2 linked regions of the Arabidopsis thaliana genome follow. The protein of the gene in region 1 interacts with the protein of each later gene in a pairwise test. Each region holds a gene or a part of one and is shown on either strand. Other genes may lie near its edges.

Region 1 (4,277 bases):
TAATAATCTTGAAAGTTTGTTACAATGTTGTATAGACAACAAACCAACTAAACCAATAATAAACCAGAGATTCACCTTAATTAGATGAATAAACCGGGACTATACCGAACCCTTAATCACTGCTATTATATACAAGTATAGACTAAATATATATAAGCTAATAGGGGTCTTGAATTTCTCGTCTCAACCTAAGGGGGATCTACGAGCTTTTGGGTCTCGAATTTCTTCTAATCAAAAAACGAAGTAGAAATATATATATTCAATAACAATTTTTTGGTTCGTTTTGTCGTGAGTATTCAAATCCATTAACATTTTCAAATAGAGCTTCTAAATAGATATTTCATGTTTTCGTTTAGAACGCATAATACACTACTAGTTTGAAAAAAAAAATACTTACTAGAAAGATGAATTATTAGTTCATTATATACGGCATATAATTCGAATGTACTATGTTTAACTATTTTTAATTTCGAGTACAGTTAGATCATTAATGAGAAGGAGTTATTTCATTTGAAATCATGCGTATAATGATTACAACGAAGCGAAAATGATGAAGGCGCGTGGTAGGCAATGATAAGATGTCGGCGCGTGAGGAAACAAAATAAAACGCACGGCCGGGTCGAGTGTTTTCGGGTCCCTTGTTGTCACGTGACATGACCCACCTGCCCATGTTCTCTCTTGAGCCCAAAACTATTTGAGACATTTTTTAATCATCTTTCGGCAGTTTTAATTTACTTCTTCTTTTTTTTTTTTGTCAACAATAAAGCAAAATGATTCTGATTAGCAGCACTCAGAATATATCTGATTATAGAACACGATCTGAATACTTAAAAATTCTACAAAATTGATGATAAGGGAAGTATGATGATCTATAATAGTTGAAAGTTTAAGAACATGAAATGAAAATAGAGAAACAGTCAGTGAATATTGGATTCATATGTAATACATATGGGTGTTAGTGTAATGATAGATCCCACATCCCACATGGATATGATTGGATCACAACAGGTGACTGGCCCACAACTTTGAATGAGCTCAGATTCATGTGGATTGTGTTTTGTACCAACCACTTGATTTAGTCCTTTTTTTTTCTTCATTATTTCAACAATTAATTGCCAACTATTTCTTCGATATCTGTTCTCATCCGTGTGTGATCTTGACTGATTGAGTTGTTTTTTTTTTCTTTACAAAGGTCACAAGTTCTTGCACCAATGATTGGAAAAATTTGAGGGTTAAATAAAAATGAAAAGAGAAAATGAACTGAAATATTTACTACCACTTTTAGGTGGAGTAAAAAACTAAAGATGTTCACGTTTATTTCTTTACAGTAGAGTAAATATTTTGTAGCATAACTATTAGATTGGCAATTATTCAACTTACCGTAAATACTAAATAAAATTCACTCTAGTAAGCTCATCCAATAACATCTTTATTTTTTTTTTTTGACATGGTCAAAAAGATTAGCAAGTTACAACTCTTAATAATAATTCTATTAATTTTTTTTTTAATAAAGAACTAATGTCTATATATCTCGAAATGATATCAAATTGGCGCAATAATAAAATTCCTCGGATACTATTAAATCAGAAGCTAAGGCTGCTTATATCTAATATATGCAAGACATAACATGAGTCACTTCATATATATGTGAAGGTATATAATTAAAACTTAGAATCATTATTTAGTTGATTAGGCATATAATTTGATGTACTTATTGTCGCTAAATAAATGTCATAATGGATTTGCACCGCATATTATAGAGTTTCTCTTTTCCTAGTCCAAATTTGCAAGAAATAAAGTAGAGATGGAAAATATGAATTTGCATTTTAAATTTACTTTGGATTCCATACATATATAGAAGTACTTTGAGGTTATGGAAAAAGATAGCAAAAGATAGGACTTACTATACAATTTACTAAAATAGTAAAAGAAGAAGAAGGAAAAGATAAAGAAAAAAAAAAAAGAGAAAGGAGAAGACAAAGAGGGAACAAGTTGGGGATATAATAATTGAGTTTCAAAAGGGCATTAATAGATTATAATTGGCCAACCTGACAACATCTCATATCATTCACTTCCTATATTAATCCTCTCTTTCTCTTTTCATTTCCCATTTCACATCTCTCTCTCTCTATAAGAACCCTAGAAGAAGGTTTCTCTTGTCCTCCATACACTTAGCACAACTGATAAATCTTTTGAGGTAAAATCAGCTTTAGATCAAGGTTTTTCTAGTCATCTCTACTCATAAAGATCAAAGCTTTTGCTATTCTCATTTTCTACCAAGAGACAATATCATGATGATGGGTAAAGAGGATTTGGGTTTAAGTCTTAGCTTGGGATTTGCACAAAACCATCCTCTCCAGCTAAATCTTAAACCCACTTCTTCACCAATGTCCAATCTCCAGATGTTTCCATGGAACCAAACCCTTGTTTCTTCCTCAGGTAAGCTTCTTCTTCAACAAAGTCTTGATAACCTTTTTCCACAAGGAAACAACACAGATCCTGAAATAACCCTTTTTCATTTTTCAGATCAACAAAAGCAACAGTTTCTTAGGAAAATCGACGTGAACAGCTTGCCAACAACGGTGGATTTGGAAGAGGAGACAGGAGTTTCGTCTCCAAACAGTACGATCTCGAGCACAGTGAGTGGAAAGAGGAGGAGTACTGAAAGAGAAGGTACCTCCGGTGGTGGTTGCGGAGATGACCTTGACATCACTCTAGATAGATCTTCCTCACGTGGAACCTCCGATGAAGAGGAAGATTACGGAGGTGAGACTTGTAGGAAGAAGCTTAGACTATCCAAAGATCAATCCGCAGTTCTCGAAGACACTTTCAAAGAGCACAATACTCTCAATCCCGTTAGTCATTCATCCATCTCTCGGAGCGTGAAAGTATTATTGTAAATACTCTGTTTTTAACAAGGGCTTTATTGTAAAACTACAGAAACAGAAGCTGGCTTTGGCTAAGAAGCTAGGTTTAACAGCAAGACAAGTGGAAGTGTGGTTCCAAAACAGAAGAGCAAGGTGAGAGAACTAGAGTGCTCATTATTTTTACATATTAGTTGACCATTTTGCCCCTAAAGAGCAATGTTATTTACAATACAACCCATTTTTGTGCCTAATAGGACAAAGTTAAAGCAGACCGAAGTGGATTGCGAGTATTTGAAAAGATGTGTTGAGAAATTAACGGAAGAGAATCGGCGGCTCGAGAAAGAGGCAGCGGAACTAAGAGCATTAAAGCTTTCACCGCGGTTGTATGGTCAGATGAGTCCACCGACCACACTTTTGATGTGTCCATCGTGTGAACGTGTGGCCGGACCATCCTCATCTAACCACAACCAGCGATCTGTCTCATTGAGTCCATGGCTCCAAATGGCCCATGGGTCAACCTTTGATGTGATGCGTCCTAGGTCTTAACTTTAATGCTGCTTCTATGGGTTGTGTGTGGGTCATTGTACTTTTTAGATTATTGACTCTCAGCTAATGTATCCTTAAAAGCCTTTTTCTACTTTTAAATTTACTTTAATCTAATTAAATTAGTTATTCTTGTCTTCTTGATAACAAACAAATTTATAATAATAAAAAAAAAAACAGGATAAAAAAGAACAGTTTTTCTTTTATTTTTTTTTGATAAACCCAGCTCTTCTTAACCAATAACCATTATACATTCTTGACATAATCATGAAGCCATCTTCATTTTACGTTGACATGATCTTTGTATATGCGACCAGGTTAAGTGCCTCATGAGAAAAGCATAAGTTTTTCTATTTTCAAATTTTTCGAGATCTTTTTCATACCCTTCTTTTTTCTTTTACATAAAAATGATATCTCTAATCATCTAAATACTCTAATAGTTTTTTTCATAAACAAAAGTTGAACCGTCAGGTTATTGAAATTTAGACGGTTTGATATTTCTTCCTACCTAGACAAATCCTAAAGGGACCCAGGAATTGTAGTAAGCGAGCGAGAATCTTGATTTTTTAGAATGCTACAATCTTACTGGGTAATAACTCTTAACAGTGTGCAATTAATGGGCCGAATTTACCGGCCCAAATTATGGTGGTGGTTGTCGTCGTCTATTTCACCAGAGAAAGTGAGAAACACATGCATATTTGATCACACCAGCAACTGACCCCATTTTGTCAGTACTTGGTGAAAGTGAAAGTACTGAAAGCAATTTCTTCTCACACAAGTGATGAACATCAAGCTCTTGGGATTATCCTTGCAATCTTTGCTTACAAGTAACGAATGGGGGTCTCAATGAAACCAAACTCTTCACCT
Region 2 (3,755 bases), 8.7 Mb from region 1:
GGCTTTTCATATCGGTTCGAAGAATCTTATTTAATTTGATACAAAATAAGTAATCAATAAGAAAATAAGGGAATACATTACGTGGAAATTTTTTGAAATTCACTCATAAAGTTGGAATTAATGGTCTTTTTGGGGGGGGGAAAACGTGGAGGGTAAACGAATATACAAAGTAAGCAAGTAGTATCCGTGTAAAGCTTTTCATATCACCTAACTTTTTTCCATTTTCAATCATTTATGGTGAAAATTTGTGAATATTATAACAAAAAATTATTTAGGTAAATAAAAAATGGCTACTAGTAAGTGTGAAAAAGAATATGGAATGAAATGAGAATGTAATTTAGCTCATGAATCTTTGATTATATTGATTGCAATTCTTAAAACCTTCTCTTCATATTGATACTATGTAATGAATTATCAAAACAGAAAAATAATATATACGAAAACAAAAGTAAATCCATTATCTGAAACGTGTCTACCTCATTTTGTTTTAAACGAAACAATATACTTATCGTAAATAAAATCATTATACAATTTCTCTATTTTCTACAACAATCAAACACAAAAGAATTTTACATAATATTTCGAAGAATATTGGATTTTTAAATGGTTAAAATCTGAAAAGGAACTTGAAAAAAGGTGAAGAAGATCCACTAGCTTCCTTGTGACGCAAACTTTAACCGCCTTTGAGTTCTCACCTCTTTCCATTCTTCTCCAATAGCTTTCTTCACTTTCTCCAATTAATTTTATCTTGCTAACCAAACAACCCCTTAGTTTATTAATTTACAACCCCCCCACCCCACTTTTTACATCTACTTGTATGCGGTATACTCAATAAAAATTTCTGAAAATGGACCACATTAGGACTTGGGAATATTAGTATGACCACCAATATTCTCATGTTTGATATGGCTGCAATTTCTTCTTTTTGTTTGCATGAATATTATTTAGTACTTCAAGTACTGATTCCATGCTTTTTTTTTTTCCTTCTAATTCAACATGAGTAAAATATAAATTATTTTATAAGAAGATATGTTGGCAAAAGAAAAGAAGTGGTAAAGAAGGCAAACTGGCCTTTCAACTTGCGCTAGAATCAACTAATGTCAGTTTTTGGCTCTTACGATTTTTGAAATTATTGCTGAAAAGATTATATTTCGGCGATTTTATTTATTAAATATAGCTCCAAAACTAGAGTCAAAGATCATATGAGAAGTTAAAGAAAATTAATTCCGTCTTTTTGGTGTGTGTGTAACGTGTAAACCTAATTAAACTATAACATGCTCTCTTTTTCAAAAAAAAATATAACACGCTCTTCACATATAACATGAAATCAATATAAATATATCCTTAATAAACACAATAGAAAGTGAAATTGATATTTATAGTTATTGCGAGCTAGTATAGTTATGATTTTTTTTAAAAAATTGAGCTGGGAATTTTTGTAAAATTTAGAACTCTTAGTCTAACCATGATAGATGATTGTTTTGTCACACACGTACACACCATAAAATCGTATTATATTCCCTGGGAACGGCTTAGATCCATGGAATAAAAGATTTTTATCAAGCTGACGAGAAACAAATCGTCAACAGAACAAAAGCATCTAAACAATGTAATTATTAAATTTAACATTCTACTGAAGAAATTTATATATAATTTTAAAATGATAATGATCTCAATGGGCGGCTTAGCTTATGGTGTTATATAAGCAAAGAACTTGGCATCAAGCGAAACCAAAAGCGACAGAAAAAAACAAATATTTAGAAACAAAAAATGCTATAATTCTTCCTTTTTCTTGTTCTTTCAGAGATTTTGATTTCTATTCAATCGACTAAGAGGGTGTGTTTTTAATCCCTCTCTGTTTTAATTTTGTTTCCTAGTCTTTAAAGATCCATGGCAGCCATAGATATGTTCAATAGCAACACAGATCCTTTTCAAGAAGAGCTCATGAAAGCACTTCAACCTTATACCACCAACACTGATTCTTCTTCTCCTACGTATTCAAACACAGTCTTCGGTTTCAATCAAACCACATCTCTCGGTCTAAACCAGCTCACACCTTACCAAATCCACCAAATCCAAAACCAGCTTAACCAGAGACGTAACATAATCTCTCCAAATCTAGCCCCAAAGCCTGTCCCAATGAAGAACATGACCGCTCAGAAACTCTATAGAGGAGTTAGACAAAGGCACTGGGGAAAATGGGTAGCTGAGATCCGTTTACCCAAGAACCGGACCCGACTCTGGCTTGGAACTTTCGACACAGCTGAAGAAGCAGCCATGGCTTATGACCTAGCTGCTTACAAGCTAAGAGGCGAGTTCGCGAGACTTAATTTCCCACAGTTCAGACACGAGGATGGATACTACGGAGGAGGTAGCTGTTTCAATCCTCTTCATTCCTCTGTCGACGCAAAGCTCCAAGAGATTTGTCAGAGCTTGAGAAAAACAGAGGATATTGACCTCCCCTGTTCTGAAACAGAGCTTTTCCCGCCAAAAACAGAGTATCAAGAAAGTGAATATGGGTTCTTGAGATCTGATGAGAATTCGTTTTCAGATGAGTCTCATGTGGAATCTTCTTCGCCGGAATCTGGTATTACTACGTTCTTGGACTTTTCGGATTCTGGATTTGATGAGATTGGGAGTTTCGGGCTGGAGAAGTTTCCTTCTGTGGAGATTGATTGGGATGCGATTAGCAAATTGTCCGAATCTTAAACAAAGCAAAGAGAAGACTTTTTCTTTTAGGAGTTTGTCTTTCAATTTCAGTGTCTTATATTAATCTCTCTGCAACTGAAATTTTTAACAGTTGCGGAGAGAATCGTCTCTAGGGTTTGTTTCTCTTCCTCCATGTTTTGGTCTGACTGGTTTATGTCTTTTTTTTTTTTTTGAACTTTCAAAAACCTTTGTCATTGACCAATCGGAGAAGTTTCCATGTATTCTCTCATCTTTAAATTTCTAATGAAGAATGTAAATTATTAGTCTTTTGCTGATAGTGTTTTTGGTCATTATAAAAATAAGGTTTGCATGCTGATAAAGTATAAAATTCATTTATTAAACAGTTTCAGAGAACTTGCGGAAAGATAATTGATCTCTTCTGTCAAGGATTTTTTAAGAAATTAAACTTAATGTTAATTCTCCTTTTTTATACTTAAATCATTCTTGTAAAATGATTCAAAAAGACATGATGGGAACAAAATTTGGATCGGAAAATAAAATCTAATATGTTTCAACTACAAAGCAAAATATCATTTGACGAAATTTGAAAATGTATTCCTGCCGAGGAAATTCCAAAAAAGAAAAACAAATCAAATAATTATAGAACTTTATTCCGGCGATAATTCAAATAACTTATGCTGCATTTGTGTGTATTGTGGACGATAGAGGTCCGTTGTTGACATATGGGAACACATAAGCCACAAAGTTCGATGCTTTAAGGTAAAGAATCTTACAATAACCAACAATTGTGGCAAAGATTAAAACGTTCATAATATATACACTATACAACTACTTTAAAGTCTGTTTTTTCAAATATTATATTTAGAAAAAAAAATAAACAAAGCAGCCTTAACCAATATTCTGATTCTTTTCTTTCAGTACGTAAAGACAGTGTTCATACTTCCAGAAATTGAAATGGATGTTTTTGGAATTATTATAAAAATAAAAATAAAATTGGAACGTTTGATTCTTTATTCTCTGACTTTCCAATTAGTTGTAGTCTAACGACTCTAGGCCAAGTGCCCAACTATGACAAAACAAAACTA

The links.
Region 2: the proteins of HAT1 (region 1) and AT4G39780 interact in a two-hybrid assay, tested with the Arabidopsis thaliana proteins (one large-scale study listed by BioGRID).

The regions. Positions count from the first base shown.
Region 1 is NC_003075.7:9,737,571-9,741,847, forward strand, and holds HAT1 (Homeobox-leucine zipper protein 4 (HB-4) / HD-ZIP protein), read left to right. Parts: upstream 1-1,947; 5' UTR 1,948-2,291; coding exon 2,292-2,439; intron 2,440-2,526; coding exon 2,527-2,855; intron 2,856-2,940; coding exon 2,941-3,020; intron 3,021-3,121; coding exon 3,122-3,413; 3' UTR 3,414-3,664; downstream 3,665-4,277. UniProt on the Arabidopsis thaliana protein: Probable transcription factor.
Region 2 is NC_003075.7:18,457,170-18,460,924, reverse strand, and holds AT4G39780 (Integrase-type DNA-binding superfamily protein), read left to right. Parts: upstream 1-1,667; 5' UTR 1,668-1,890; coding exon 1,891-2,709; 3' UTR 2,710-3,019; downstream 3,020-3,755.